2 linked regions of the Stegostoma tigrinum genome follow. The protein of the gene in region 1 interacts with the protein of each later gene in a pairwise test. Links are inferred from orthologs where the notes say so. Each region holds a gene or a part of one and is shown in the gene's direction. Other genes may lie near its edges.

Evidence for each region. The genes of interacting proteins can lie anywhere in the genome.
Region 2: the proteins of eef1g (region 1) and ech1 interact in a two-hybrid assay, tested with the Homo sapiens proteins (2 studies listed by BioGRID and IntAct). The link is inferred for Stegostoma tigrinum from reciprocal best matches to the Homo sapiens genes EEF1G and ECH1.

The regions. Positions count from the first base shown.
Region 1 is NC_081395.1:5,755,373-5,762,876, forward strand, and holds the start of eef1g (elongation factor 1-gamma), read left to right. Parts: upstream 1-4,084; 5' UTR 4,085-4,173; coding exon 4,174-4,185; intron 4,186-4,311; coding exon 4,312-4,470; intron 4,471-7,504. UniProt on the Homo sapiens protein: Probably plays a role in anchoring the complex to other cellular components.
Region 2 is NC_081392.1:7,501,014-7,509,063, reverse strand, and holds the start of ech1 (delta(3,5)-Delta(2,4)-dienoyl-CoA isomerase, mitochondrial), read left to right. Parts: upstream 1-4,773; 5' UTR 4,774-4,859; coding exon 4,860-4,896; exon of another isoform or gene 4,897-4,900; intron 4,901-4,926; exon of another isoform or gene 4,927-5,729; coding exon of another isoform or gene 5,730-5,754; intron 5,755-8,050. UniProt on the Homo sapiens protein: Isomerization of 3-trans,5-cis-dienoyl-CoA to 2-trans,4-trans-dienoyl-CoA.

The DNA.
Region 1 (7,504 bases):
GGGATCTGTGTTCGTGGTACAGCCCCTTCCCTCACCTGACATTCATTTGCTGAATGACACAGCCAGTCCAACCCCCAGACTCTCCAATTTGCCAATTGCAAAGCTCACTTTGCATTTTGCATTCCCAGGGGTTCACGCACGAAATGGCACAAAAGTTGTTGATTTTATTTCCTGCACAGTGTCACCGCTGGGTAGGGTACTTGCGTGCCCGGGGAGTGGGGCTCACCTCTCTGTGTTGGGGGGTCTGGGAACCACAGGCTAGCCTTAAGGCTGAAACGCACTGCCAGTGCTGAGGGAATGGGCACTGTCAGAGGGCCAGTGCCGAGGGAGCGGGCGCTGGCGGAGGGTCAGTGCCGAGGGAGCGGGCACTGTCGGAGGGTCAGTGCTGAGGCAGTGCTGCACTGTCGGAGGGTCAGTGCCGAGGGAGTGGGCACTGTCGGAGGGTCAGTGCTGAGGAAGCGGACACTGTTGGAGCGTCAGTGCTGAGGGAGCGGGCACTGTCAGAGGGTCAGTGCTGAGGGAGTGGGCACTGTCAGAGGGTCAGTGCTGAGGGAGCGGTCACTGTCAGTGGGTCAGTGCTGAGGGAGCGGGCACTGTCGGAGGGTCAGTGCTGAGGCAGTGCCGCACTGTCGGAGGGTCATTGCTGAGGGAGTGGGCACTGTTAGAGGGTCAGTGCTGAGGGAGCGGGCACTGTCGGAGGGTCAGTGCTGAGGAAGCGGACACTGTTGGAGCGTCAGTGCTGAGGGAGCGGGCACTGTCAGAGGGTCAGTGCTGAGGGAGCGGTCACTGTCAGTGGGTCAGTGCTGAGGTAGCGGGCACTGTCAGTGGGTCAGTGCTGAGGGAGCGGGCACTGTCGGAGGGTCAGTGCTGAGGCAGTGCCGCACTGTCGGAGGGTCATTGCTGAGGGAGTGGGCACTGTTAGAGGGTCAGTGCTGAGGGAGCGGGCACTGTCGGAGGGTCAGTGCTGAGGGAGCGGACACTTTCGGAGCGTCAGTGCTGAGGGAGCGGGCACTGTCGGAGGGTCAGTGCTGAGAGGGTGCCGCACTGTCAGAGGGTAAGTGCTGAGGGAGCGGGCACTGTCGGAGCGTCAGTGCTGAGGGAGCGGGCACTGTCGGAGCGTCAGTGCTGAGGGAGCGGGCACTGTCGGAGGGTCAGTGCTGAGGGAGCGGGCACTGTCGGAGGGTCAGTGCTGAGGCAGTGCTGCACTGTCGGAGGGTCATTGCTGAGGGAGTGGGCACTGTCGGAGGGTCAGCGCTGAGGGAGCGGACACTGTTGGAGCGTCAGTGCTGAGGGAGCGGGCACTGTCGGAGGGTCAGTGCTGAGAGGGTGCCGCACTGTCAGAGGGTCAGTGCTGAGGGAGCGGTCATTGTCAGAGGGTCAGTGCTGAGGGAGCGGTCACTGTCAGTGGGTCAGTGCTGAGGTAGCGGGCACTGTCAGTGGGTCAGTGCTGAGGGAGCGGGCACTGTCTGTGGGTCAGTGCTGAGGGAGTGGGCACTTCGGTGGGTCAGTGCTGAGGTAGCGGGCACTGTCAGAGGGTCAGTGCTGAGGGAATGGGCACTGTCCATGGGTCAGTGCTGAGGGAGCGGGCACTGTCGGACGGTCAGTGCTGAGGGAGCGGTCACTGTCAGTGGGTCAGTGCTGAGGGACTGGGCTCTGTCAGTGGGTCCGTGCTGAGGGAGCTCTTTACTGTCAGAAATACAGTCTTTCGATTGTCACCATCAGCTCAGGACTATCCTTGCAGACAGCAGTAAAATGATTCAGTCTCCAACAATGTGCCTCTCCGTCAGCATGAACAGATTCAGCAGGAGAGGGCTTTGCCACAGGACAGGACATGTGAACAGGTACAAATGGAAGGTGTTGGAACATGGAAATTCTGGACAATTCAGCTCTCTGATTCCTGAACAGTCAATCAGCAAAGCTGCAACCAGGCGCACAGTTCTAATAAACCCTAAAACGGAGCAGAGATAAGGTCTTCAGTCCCACAAGCCTGTTCCACCATTCCACGAGATCATGGCCAATCTACGTCTGGACCATTTTCCTCATGCTCCCCATATTCCTTGATGTCTTTTACAGCTAGAAACCATGAACACACACAGTGATTGGGCATCCACATTCTTCTCGCTTGGAGGATCGCAAAGAGTGAGCTGTCTTCTGAATCTGGAAGAGGAACTTTCCACTTGAAGAGAACCATCTCCTAGAATCATTGATTCATGGAGTTTTCATGGGTTAGAAAGTGGCCCTTCGACCCGCTGTATCCGTGCTGGCCATCGAACAGCCACCCATTTAATCCCATTTTTTAGCATACAAATAAAACTTCCCGCGGATCCTCACCCTGGCGACTCTTCAGAACATTGCGGTCAGAAGTTCTGAAGAAGGGTCACTAGACCAGATCATTAATGCAGCCTCTCTCTGCACAGATGCTGCCAGACCGGCTCTGTTTCGCCAGCAACTTCTCTTTTTGTTCCAGCATTTGCTCCATAGCCTCATATACCGTGGTATCCTCTACATTGTGGGTGTGTGGGTTCTGGGGTGGCAAGGGGTGGGGTGGGGGACGGTTGTGGGAATGTAGGGCTGGAGGGCTCGTGCTGGGCACAGCTTTTAAAGGGGAGTATTTGGGGGTGGGAGAGGAATGAATGGGCCGAATGGATTGCTTCCTGTTCCAAATGGAATTATGTTGATACCACCTGCCTGGCGTAACCTAACAGCAAAACAACAAAACAGCAGAAGAAAGGAGTGGGGTAGGCCATTCAGCCCTTCAAGCTTGTTCTGCCATTCAATGATATTAGGGCTGATAGGGTCAGAAAGATATACAGCTTAGAATCAGGCCTTTTGGTCCAACATATCAATGCCGACCAGATATCCTAAGTTAATTTAGTCCTATTTACCAGCATTTGGCCCGTATCCCCTACAAACCCTTCCTATTCATGTGCCTATTCCTATTTGTGAAAAAGTTGCCTCTTAGGTCTCTTTTAAATCTTTCCCCTCTCACCTTTAATCTATGTCCTCTAGTTTTGAACTCCCCCACCCTGGCTCTTCACCCTATCCATGCCCCTCATGATTTTATAAACCTCAGCCTCTGATGCTCCAGGGAAAATAGCCCCAGCCTATTGAACCTCTTACTTGTTCGCACAGAGGGTGGTGCATGTATGGAATGAGCTGCCAGAGGAAGTGGTGGAGGCTGGTACAGTTACAACATTTAAAAGGCATCTGGATGGGTATCTAAGTAGGAAGGGTTTAGAGGGATATGGGCCAAATGCTGGCAAACGGGAACTATCTTAATTTAGGATATTTGGTCAACATGGGTGAGTTGTACTGCAGGGTCTGTTTACTATAGGTGTGAGCCGGAAAAGCGCAGCTGGTCAGACAGCATCGGTGGGGCACATAGGTGAACATTTTGGGCCAAAAACCCTTTGCCAGGTTGCTTTTCCAGCCTCACACCTGTAGACTCTGGCTTCCAGCATCTGTGGTCCTTATTGTCCCTGGCTCTGTTTCAGTGTTGTGCCTCTCTGTGACTCTCCCTGCAGCTGAAACCCTCCAGTCCTGTGGCACATGGCCTATTTCCCAAATGCCTGCCTTTTGACCCATTGCCCAGAGGAAGGAGACGCACAGCTGGAAGCAGGCAGAGGTAGTCAGGGAGAAGGTTTTGAAATAGCGGGAACTGCAGATGCTGGGGAATCTGAGATGACAAGGCGTAGAGCTGGACGAGCACTGCAGGCCAAGCAGCATCACAGGAGCAGGAAGGCTGGCGTTTCGGACTTGGACCCTTTCTGAAGAGGGTCTAGGCCCAAGACATCAGCTTTCCTGCTCCTCTGATGCTGCTTGGCCTGCTGTGTTCGTCCAGCTCTACACCTTGTTGTCTAGGGAGAAGTTTTTGGAGCTTTTGACATGGTCCTGATGATCCTGTCTCTCCAGCTCTGATGAAGGGTCTAGGCCCGAAACATCAGCTTTTGTGCTCCTGAGATGCTGCTGGGCCTGCTGTGTTCATCCAGCCTCACATTTTATTATCTTGGATTCTCCAGCATCTGCAGTTCCCATTATCTCTCCAGCTTTTAGCTCTGGTTCAGTCTAGGGGTGGTGGTCGGCTACTGTCAATCATCACAAAGGCCACGCCCCCTGGGTTTACGACAGTGCCGTCAGTCAGGCGGCTCTCTCTCTCTTCGGCGCCCCGGCGACATGGCGGACGGGGTAAGTGCTGGCTCCCGGTTACAATCCGCGGTGTATCGGCGCCATCCCGGCTCCGCGAACCCGGCTGGCGGTCCCGAAAGCTCGGCGGGCCTTTCTCACTGAGCCGTGTGCCTTCATTTCCCGCAGATCCTGTACTCGTACCCGGAGAACTGGCGGGCCTACAAGGCGCTGATCGCCGCCCAGTACAGCGGCTCCAAGCTGCGGCTGCAGAGCGGGCCGCCGCATTTCACCTTCGGACAGACCAACAGGAGCGCCGCCTTCCTGCACAAGTTCCCCCTCGGCAAGGTCAGTCTGTCGGGGCGGGACAGGGGATCCGGAGCAAGCCCCGGGCTGAGGGGAGATCGCAACCCACCCCCCACCCCCTCCATCCCCGTAACACCTCGCCTCCCCACCTCCAAATCACCCCCTGCCTCCCCACCCCGATACCCCTCTCCACACACCCCCCCTCACTGCCCCCCTCGTCCCTGTCCCCCCCCCCATTCGTCCCTGTCCCCCCCCCATTCGTCCCTGTCCCCCCCCCCATTCGTCCCTGTCCCCCCCCCATTCGTCCCTGTCCCCCCCCCCATTCGTCCCTGTCCCCCCCCCCAATCTCGTCCCTGTCCCCCCCCCCAATTCGTCCTGTCCCCCCCCCAATTCGTCCCTGTCCCCCCCCCCCATTCGTCCCTGTCCCCCCCCCCCATTCGTCCCTGTCTCCCCCCCCCCATTCGTCCCTGTCCCCCCCCCCCATTCGTCCCTGTCCCCCCCATTCGTCCCTGTCCCCCCCCATTCGTCCCTGTCCCCCCCCATTCGTCCCTGCCCCCCCCCCCATTCGTCCCTGCCCCCCCCCATTCGTCCCTGCCCCCCCCCATTCGTCCCTGCCCCCCCCCATTCGTCCCTGCCCCCCCCCCATTCGTCCCTGCCCCCCCCATTCGTCCCTGCCCCCCCATTCCGTCCCTGCCACTCGCCCCTATGTCTCCATCCTCACCCGCCCCCAACTCCCCCCTTGTCCCCAGCACCGATACCCTCCTATCGCCCACATCCTCACACTTAATCCCCCCCCCATCAGCCCACCCTTAATTTGCTCCCCCATCCTGCTGCGCTCCCCCCCCACCTGCCATCACGCCAATAGTAAATCACTTTTCATTCACTTACAAAACAATACCGTCACTGTAGAGTCATGGAGGTTTTCAGCATGGAAACAGGCCCTTTGGTCCTCCTTCACCATTCCACCCAGTTTTTGCAATTAATCTAGTTAAGTTGCCTGCATTTGGTCCATATCCCTCCCCATACATTTCTTCGATGTCAAAATTGTACTCACGTCCACTCCTACCTCTGGCAGCCCATTCTAGACACTGACCACTGTGTTGAAAAAATTGCCTCTCTGGACCCTTTTGTGTATCTTTCCTCTCACCTTAAACCTGTGCCCTGTAGTTTTAGACTCCCCATGGGGAGAAGCTGTTGGCTACCTTCTGTATCAATGCCTCAAGGATTTTATAGACCTCCATAAAGTCATCCCTCAGTCTCCTACCCCAGGGAAAACAGCCCCAGCTTGTCCAGCCTCTCCTTATAACTCAAACCTTCAGCCTAGGCAGCATCCTAGTAAATATTTCCTGCTCTCTTTCTGGTTTAATAATATCCTTTCTATAGTAGGGCAGCTAGAACTGCACATGGTACTCCAAGTGTGTCCCTACTAAAGTTTTGTACAGATCCAACAAGATTGTCTTGAATATTCAGCCCTGCTGTGAAGGGATTATTGGGGGAAGGGGGACTGTCCACTTCTCTGTTGTATGGTATTATATTCCATCACCATGTCTTTTTTTTGGCCTAAATGCCTTTTGGAGGAGGCGATGGCAAGCTCTCATGACCCTCTGCTGTCTGTGGAGTGTAGGGACATACGCGGTTTTGTTAGGAAAAGAGTTCTAGGATTTTGATCCAGCAACAATGTAGGATCAACGGATATATTTCTGAATTATTGTGATGTGTCTTGGAGGGTACTCCCATTTATCTGCTCCCCTTGCCCTTCTCAGTGGTGGGGGGCCGTGTCACAGATTTTAAATATGTGTGGAGTTTGCTACTGTTCACTCCTTGCCCCCATTTTTCAGTGATTTTTAATGTATATCCCTGCCAGCACACCAATCCCGAATTATTGGAGTCTCACATTTTGGCTGTTTGGATGTGGAGCAGGATTGTCTGACGTCGAGTGGACCTGCCTGTCTCAAATCCTGGCAGGCTCAGGAGCAGGGATAGTGCTTGATGCTGCCATGACCTCACTGGATCAGGGCAATCTGTTGGTGTCAGCAACATGTCAGCGAGAGTGTGAATTGAACCTAGTTGTTAGTGACGGATGAATGACTGTGCTATGTGCAGCCTGCTGTCGGCGTGGCTCAAGTAACAACACTCTCTCCCTGCAGTCAGAACCGTCTCAGTTGTAGACTGGGGGCCATTTGGTGCTTTGAGTCTATTCCATTGTTATTCAGTGGGTGATTTGCACTTCATCCCCCAATAATGGGCACCTGGGGGTTAGAGGCATGGGTGGAATATAAGTGCGGAAGTGTCACCACACCTGTACGAGGTAATGGTGAGCTTGAACCTGGAGTCTCGTGTACAGTTTTGGTCTCCTTACTTAAAGAGGAATGTAATTGCATTGGATGCAGTTCAAAGAAGGTTCACTTGGCTCATTCCTGAGATGAAGGAAAGGTTCAGTAGGTTGGCCCTTTACTCAAGAGTTTGAAAGAATGAGAGGTGATCTTGTTGGAACACTCAAGATTGTGAGAGGGGTTTGATGGGGCGGATTCTGAGAAAATTCTGGGAAGGGGAATGAAGAAGGCGCAGCTCCACAATATGGGGGTCTTCTGTTTACGATGGAGTTGAGGGCATTTCCTCCAAGGGTTGGGGTCTGGCTCTGGCTGCTAATCTCAGCCTTGAATATATTTTTGTTTTTGATCAACAATGGAGTCAAGGGTTGTGAGTGGGCAGACAAGGTGGAGCTGAGTCCGCAGTATGAGTGGGCATGGATTGTCCAGCTGGTTCAAGGGACTTGATGGCCTGGTGCTCTTGTTTGCCATATCCATTCAGTATCAGTTGACCTCTGCCACCCTTTTCAGTATGTGTGTGGGGTTTTATTGTAAGAGGGGGCCTTTTGTGGTGCAGTGGTAGTGACCCTATATTTGAGTCAGGAGGCCCAGGTTCCAGTTTGACCTACTCCAGAGGTGAGTAGTAACTTCTCCAAAGAAGTTGGCTAGAAAACATGTTCCAGATCGCCCAAGATACTTTCCAATTCCTAGTTCTAGTTTCGTGGCTCTCACACCAGCGTAGTACTGGGGAAGTACAGTGTTGTAGA
Region 2 (8,050 bases), on another chromosome or scaffold:
GTTTTCTCCAATCATTTGAAAATTTAAGGTGTTCAGTCCCTCCATGCTCAGTAAGACTGCTAATTCCCTGTCAACAGACAGACAATATTGTATCAATTTGGTAATTGGATTATTTACAATCACTTTCCTCTAACTTCATATAGAATGATTTTTGATTTGATAACCCTTTACAAAATTTTTTGATACTGTCTTTGTCTTTTGCCAGGAGTGTTATTAAACTTTGTTCTTTTCTTGTCCGGTGCTGTCCTTTTTTGAAGAAAGTGGCACTCTTGGTGTAAATGGTTGTCACAAAGCACTTCTGAACACCTGATCTGTTACTCATCAACAGATTAGACTTGCCATTTTAACTACAAACAGTCCCTTGTCTTCATCTTATCTAAATCTAGATTCTCAATTCATTCATAATTACCCATTTCAAGCACTAATTTTTGATCATCTGATTTATATTCACATTGTTAAATCTGACCTTACTTATTGTGTAGCTAATTTGGTATATCCCATTATTGACTAGTTTCCTTAACTATATGTAACATTCAAACTCTTCCCATTAAAACCCATCTGGCTTTGCTACTTTTGTTTTTGTTGTTTTAATCTCGGCAGTTATACCAGCTATTTCACTGCAACTATCAGCCTTTGTACAACTACTTTGCAGAAGTAGGAAATGGAAGAAGATTTCCACTCAATGGTTGTGATTTTTATTTCTTAAAGCTGCTCCATGCTTCCCCATCTTGTTAATCTTACAGCCTTATCCACATACAGCCAAGTCTTAGTAGTGGTAACCATGTCACACCCTCCAAGTTGCATTCATGTCTACAATTGATCAATTTGGTATTTGCAGTTTAATGATCAACTATTTAGCCAGTGGTAAATTCACCACCTTCGATTGTCTGAACCAGTGTGATATGATTTTAAATAATGTTGACTATGTCAGTGCAACACCTTGATTTGAGAGGCTCCATGAAACCTCCAAGGTGACAAGTCAGGCAAGCAGTATGTCTAACTGGGAGTCTTGCTTTTTGTTAACGGGCAGTGACTTTCGGTTAAATAAAAGCAAACCTCCCAGTGACTATTGGTCACCATCTAGTAATGATTTGTCAGGCTGCACATAATGGTCAAGTGGGGATGTAATTTTTCAGCCCCAAAAAAAAAATTAACAGACGTGGTCTCTGCCATTTAATGTCGACCAACAACATTACTCTACTCTGACTTCTCGGTGGCCAATTAGGTACTGTGGCACAACCTTGTGGCCACTTGGTTTATTTTGGAAAAAAAATCAGCATGGTTACAACACAAGGTAATTGTTTAACTAAATTAAATCCTAAGTGCCTTAACTTCACTCATCCTGAAAACCTGAAAGGTCAGTTTTGTGCATGGCATTTTGATTCAGTTCTCTATGGAACCACTCTTGGTACTGTCCCATGAAAACACAGGTGATGTCACCTGTCCTTTTTGTGGCCTCATTCAAGTTGACTGTGTATTTACTTTCAGTTTGATATTCTGAAATCATTGCACTGTAGTACCACTTGGTTCAAATCAGGTGATCATTTTGCATAGAATTTGTGCTTACAAGCAGAACCCTGAGCTTCCAGGCATACTGTTTCAATTATCAATCTCTCTCTCTGACCTCTGTCCTTTAGTCTGAAAGTGCTAATGAAAGTTATCCATAAATTCAAGGGACAGCACTTTGCTTTTAAGTAATCACCCAACGAATATGTGGACTAAAGTGAGTTCTGCAGTGTGTGTAACTAGTTCAAAATGTTCTTTTAATAGTGTTAATAGTTCTGTTTGCACACTCACACCCTCTCCACATTTTGTCTAATGTGCAACAATTCATTCCTTTTGTCACTTTAATTTCATCTTCCACCTTCTCTCAGATCTTCCCTTTGTTACTTCACACCAACACTCTCTGCTTCTATACTTAAAGATGTTCCTAGTATTTTCTCATTCTGCCAAAAGTCCCATTGACCTGAAATATTAACTTTCCTCTTCCACAGAATAGAAGCAGCGTTGGACCGTTTGTCCCTTGGGAGCGAATCTGTCCTTCAGTACAATCACAGCAGATTTTAAACTTCAATTCTACCTTTTTGTCTTTCACCTTCCATCTTTCTCGATTGCCTGCATATCTAAATATTAGATGAGCCTTGAACATACTGAACTTGGACAGCCCTTTGAGTTGTAGCTGTAGGCTAGCTCCCGTATTGTGATTTCTGGCTGGTGAGGGTGGAGTTTTGAAGACCATAAGATACAACAGAAGTCCATTTCAGTTCATTTGAATCTGCTCCACTGTTCAACAAGATCATGGCTGATCTGATAATCCTTGACCATCCTTTTCCTCCATTTTCCCTAATACACTTCCCTTGCTGGTTTAAAAATCCCTCTGCCTCAAATATACTTATTGACCTGGCCTCCCCCCTCTCTGCTCTGAAGAATTCCATAGGTTTACTACCCTTTGAGATGAAATACTCATTTTTGCCCTAACTGGGTAATCCCTTACCATGGTATGCCTTCTAGTTCTAGACTCTCCCACATCTACCCTGTCAACTCCCCTAGGAATCTTGTATATTTCGATGAGTGCAGGCCTGAAATCCACAACACCTCATAAGATAATCCCTGCTGTACCTGAGAACAAGCTTGTGAACCTCCTAGATTGCCTCCAACGCCACGATATGCTTTCTTGGATGAGGGTCCTAAAGCTGTTGACTGTATGTTCTAGGTTGATCTGATGAGTGCCTTGTTGTTTTACCAAGACCTTTTTTTTGGACTCCATTGTATCTTACATTAAAGCTGCCTCTACCATATTACATCAGGTGCTGCCTAGGGCTAGAAGTTTATTCAGTTTAAGACACTTGCAGTGCAGTTATTTACCTGTTTCTCTGGCACTTTTAGGTCATTGAATCTTTTACTTAATTGTTCTACTTGTTAAACATTTTGGGCTTTTTCAGTCTTGCATTTCTTTCACACACTACTTTTGCATTGCTTTGACACATAAATACAATCTTGGCTGATCTTCCAACTCCATACCTTGTTTCTGCTTTTTCTTTCCCCCGTGCCATTGATTCCCTTTAGCTCTGCGAACTGTATCTGCCTCCTTAAACACTCAGTATTTTGGCCTCCGCTGCTTTCTGTGCACAAACAGTGGCATAACTTTTCTCATTGTACTTTTTTACTTTTAAGATTTTGTAGCTAGCTGTCTTCCTGACACTTCAGCCTTTGAATTTTAATAAAAAATTTTCCTCACTTTGATTTTACTTCCATTCAATGTTGCATTATTCTTTTATTTTGATACCATTTTTCATTTTCAAGTCTCCTCACTTAATCAGGGCAGTGAAAAATACATACTCCCATTGAGTAACTATTTCTTCCTTAACTCTGTCTCCAATTGAATGGAGTGGCTATGGGTCCCAGTTATACCTGCCTCTCTCGTAGGGTATGTAGAACATGTGTACTCGGCATATTTTCTCAACTCTTCATTAGTATGGCAATAACTGCATTATTGCTGCTTCCTGAGTTTGTCCCGAATTGGTAAAATAAATGTTAGTTTTCAGTATCCATATTTAACTTCATTTAGTCCATCCTTGCCCCTTCCTTGACTACTGTTTGCATTTCTGGGGATATGCTGTGCCCTTAAATCCATTACAAACCTACTAACTCCCACAGTCAGCTTGACTGTGTCAAGTCACTCTCCTCGACTCATTTGCATCTGTCTGAGGTCCAAGGCTGGGCTTGTAAGCACTGCTGCCTCACAGTACCAGAAGTTCACTTCCACTGTTGGGCAACTGTATGCAGTTTACACACCATCCCTGTTTCTTAGTGGGTTTCCTCTCATGGTGCAAAGATGTGAAGGTTAGATGGGTTTTTCATGTTAATTTTTCTGCACACTGCAGACATTGCTGGCTAGGTGGATTAGCTATGCGAAATGCAGGGTTACACAGCGATGGTAGGGGTAGCGTCTACGTGGACTTGGTGGGCTGAATGGCCTATGTCCACGTTGTAGGGATTTTTCTCTTCCCCGCCATCACTTCTAACACTTCCTCATCTCCATTCTCTCCCTTCTGACCCTACACTGCCTCTTGCAATTGCGTCTTCCCATCTCATTGTTCAAGGCCCAAACACCTTCCAGCTGAATCAGTGCTTTAAATTTCAATCTAGTCTACTGTTGCCTATTTACATGTGGTCTCTTTTACATTGGCGCAACCAAATGCAGGCTTGGTGACTGTTTAGCAGTGCACCTTATCTAAGAATGATCCTGCCCTTCCAATTGCTCGCCCTTTTCAACACCATCTTGCTGTCATTGCTGCAGTATGTTCCAATGAAGCTCATAACTAAATGGAGGAACAGAATCTCATTTCTACTTCCAAGCTTTCAATCAATTTTGATGATCACTTTTTAACCCCTTCCCCCCAACCCTAAGTTGTAATTATCCATTTTCTGTCAATATTACCATCCTCAGGCTCGAGGATACACGTTACCTCTATTCTTCTCTACCTCGTTTCTATTGGACATGTTGTGTGGTTTTATGGTGCAGCGACTATGCTGGGCTGTCGGTGGCGCTATATGCTGTACTACAACAGCGACTATGCCATGCTGTGGGTGGTGCTGTAGCCTGTACCGCAGTGACTCTGCCGGGCCGTGGGCGGCGCTGTACCCAGTACCGCAGTGACTGCCGGGCCGTGGGTGGCGCTGTACCGCAGTGACTCTGCCGGGCCGTGGGTGGCGCTGTACCGCAGTGACTGCCGGGCCGTGGGTGGCGCTGTACCGCAGTGACTGCCGGGCCGTGGGTGGCGCTGTACCGCAGTGACTCTGCCGGGCCGTGGGCGGCGCTGTATGTCACGGTCGCAGATTGCTGTTGCGGGGGGCTGATGGCTGGCCTGCTGTTTGCGGGATTGCGGAGCGGTTGTGAGTGAGTCCGGGGCTTTTGTGGCCGGAGGGCGGTATCTGGGGGACACGTCTGGTTCGTGTGCGGTTAAGCCGCCGGTTCAGCGCCTCCCAGGGTGAAGCGGACTTTAGTTTTGCGGAGGCGCCAGGAAGCCTTCGGAACCAAATAAAGTCCGTGCGAGTGGGGCACTATCCCTGGTTTGGGGGTTCAATCGGGCGGAAGGAGGCCATTCGGCCCACCGAGTCTGTACCGACCCTCCAAAGAGCTGACCACCCAGGCATGTGCAAACTGCCCGCTGTCGCCCGAGGCCGGAGTCGAACCTGGGCACTCCATACCGTGAGACAGTTAACTACTGTACAGTGCGGGGCAGATAAAAACATTGGGGTTTTTGTTAATGATCTGGGATTTTTAAAGAAAAGGAGAGTACACTGTGGGAGGGTGTGAGAGGAAGTTTACTGCTGCCTGGAAGAGCCTGGCAGTTGGCTAAGGCTGAAAGTCTTGACCTGCAACTTTCCTAGTAACAAGAGAATCTCAATCTCCCTCAGCATTCATGGCCTGGACAATAATTAGCAGAACCCACCATCCACAAGGCATAAGTCGAGTCAAATTCCATGAGTAATGGAATACCCCACACTTGCCTAGATGGCTGCAGCTTCAACAACACTCAAGGAGCTCGACACCGTCCAGGACAGAGCCTGGCACCACGTTCCAAATCCCTCCAGTACTGACACTTAGTAGCAGCAGCGTGCATTTCTTCCGGAATACGCTGCAGCAACTCTCCCAGACTGCAATGACTGCACCTTCCAAACCTACATCCTTTACCACCTGGAAGTGTCACCTGTAAGACTTGGAAATGTGTTGCTGTTCCTTCAGCATCAGTGAGTCAAAATTCTAGAAGTTGCTTCGATCAGTGTCCCTACGCCACACATAGACTACAGTGATTCAAGAAGGTGTGATGATGCTGTGGCTTTAAGATGTTATTTTGTCCTGGTTTCTTTTAAGAGAGAGATTGAATGAGAGGCTCTGAAGTGGTTAGTGAAGGCTGCTTGAGTAAACAACTTGGGAGACCTTGGATTTTGTTTTAAAAAACAGCTTGAATGTATGCAAGATAATAAAATGTGAGGCTGGATGAACACAACAGGCCCAGCAGCATCTCAGGAGCATAAAAGCTGACGTTTCGGGCCTAGACCCTTCATCAGCTCTCTGATGAAGGGTTTAGGCCCGAAACGTCAGCTTTTATGCTCCTGAGATGCTGCTGGGCCTGCTGTGTTCATCCAGCCTCACGTTTTATTATCATGGATTCTCCAGAATCTGCAGTTCCCATTATCATTGAACGTATGCAGCCAGCTCTCTCAGATCAGGATTTCTGGGTTTTGGTTTCTCAATAGCATCAGAAACTGTTGGGGTCTCAATTGAGTTGGAAGCTTCAGTAAATGTCTCCTGGCTGCTTTGAATTTTCTCTTGATGTTTCTTTCCTCCTGGATTGTGAGAATATATTTCTGAATTTCCCCTTTCACCAATGGTTGTGTTTGTGGGGTGTTACATATCGGAACAGTGAGTTAATAATAGTTACGCATCTGTTATTTGGTTAAGTCATCCAATAGAGCTACGTTATTATAAGTTCTTCATTTTGTTTGTATTTTAACTATAGGCTTTAAATAAATTTTTTTTTGCTTAATGTCAAATATTTATAGTCAGCACAGATTTGTGAAGGGAAGGTCGTGCCTCACAAACCTTATTGAGTTCTTTGAGAAGGTGACCAAACAGGTAGATGAGAGTAAACCGGTTGATGTGGTGTATATGGATTTCAGGAAGGCTGTCGATAAGGTTCCCCACAATAGGCTATTGTACAAAATGCGGAGGAATGGAATTGTGGGAGATATAGCAGTTTGGATGGGAAATTGGCTTGCTGAAAGAAGACAGAGGGTGGTAGTTGATGGGAAATGTTCATCCTGGAGACCAGTTACTAGTGGTGTACTGCAAGGGTCGGTGTTGGGTCCACTGCTGTTTGTCATTTTTATAAATGACCTGGATGAGAAGGATGGGTTAGTAAATTTGCAGATGACACTAAGGTAGGTGGAGTTGTGGACAGTGACGAAGGATGCTGTAGGTTGCAGAGAGACATAGATAAGCTGCAGAGCTGGGCTGAGAGGTGGCAAATGGAGTTTAATGCAGACAAGTGTGAGGTGATGCACTTTGGTAGGTGTAACCGGAAGGCAAAGTACTGGGCTAATGGTAAGATTCTTAGTAGTGTAGGTGAGCAGAGAGATCTCGGTGTCCATGTACACAGATCCTTGAAAGTTGCCACCCAGGTTGACAGGGCTGTTAAGAAGGCATACAGTGTTTTAGCTTTTATTAATAGAGGGATCGAGTTCCGGAACCAAGAGGTTATGGTGAAGCTGTACAAAACTCTGGTGCGGCCGCACTTGGAGTATTGTGTACAGTTCTGGTCACCACATTATAAGAAGGATGTGGAAGCTTTGGAAAGGGTGCAGAGGAGATTTACTAGGATGTTGCCTGGTATGGAGGGAAGGTCTTATGAGGAAAGGCTGAGGGACTTGAGGCTGTTTTCATTAGAGAGAAGAAGGTTGAGAGGTGACTTAATTGAAACATATAAAATAATCAGAGGGTTAGATAGGATGGATAGGGTGGTGACAGCGAGCATGAGGGGGCGTAGCTTTAAATTGAGGGGTGAAAGATATAGGACAAATGTCAGATGTAGTTTCTTTTCTCAGAGAGTAGTAAGGGAATGGAAGGCTTTGCCTGCAACAGTAGTAGATTCGCCAACTTTAGGTACATTTAAGTTGTCATTGGACAAGCATATGGACGTACATGGAATAGTGTAGGTTAGATGGGCTTGAGATCGGTATGACAGGTCGGCACAACATCGAGGGCCAAAGGGCCTGTACTGTGCTGTAATGTTCTATGTTCTATATTTGACCAGTCCCATTACAACGGAACATAGCCCTTCATGTTTGCCTTTAAAATAAGAAAAAGTTAGGGTCTACCTTCTTAAAATAATTTGAGGGGTTTGGTCTTATCCATAATACGGCTTGCCTTCTTCAGGGCATTTAGGGATGGACAATAAATTTTGGCCCAATCAGCGATGCCGGAAATAAATGCACTAAAAACCAGCTAGTTTTCTGCTGATATCACACAGTCGTAATTGGAATT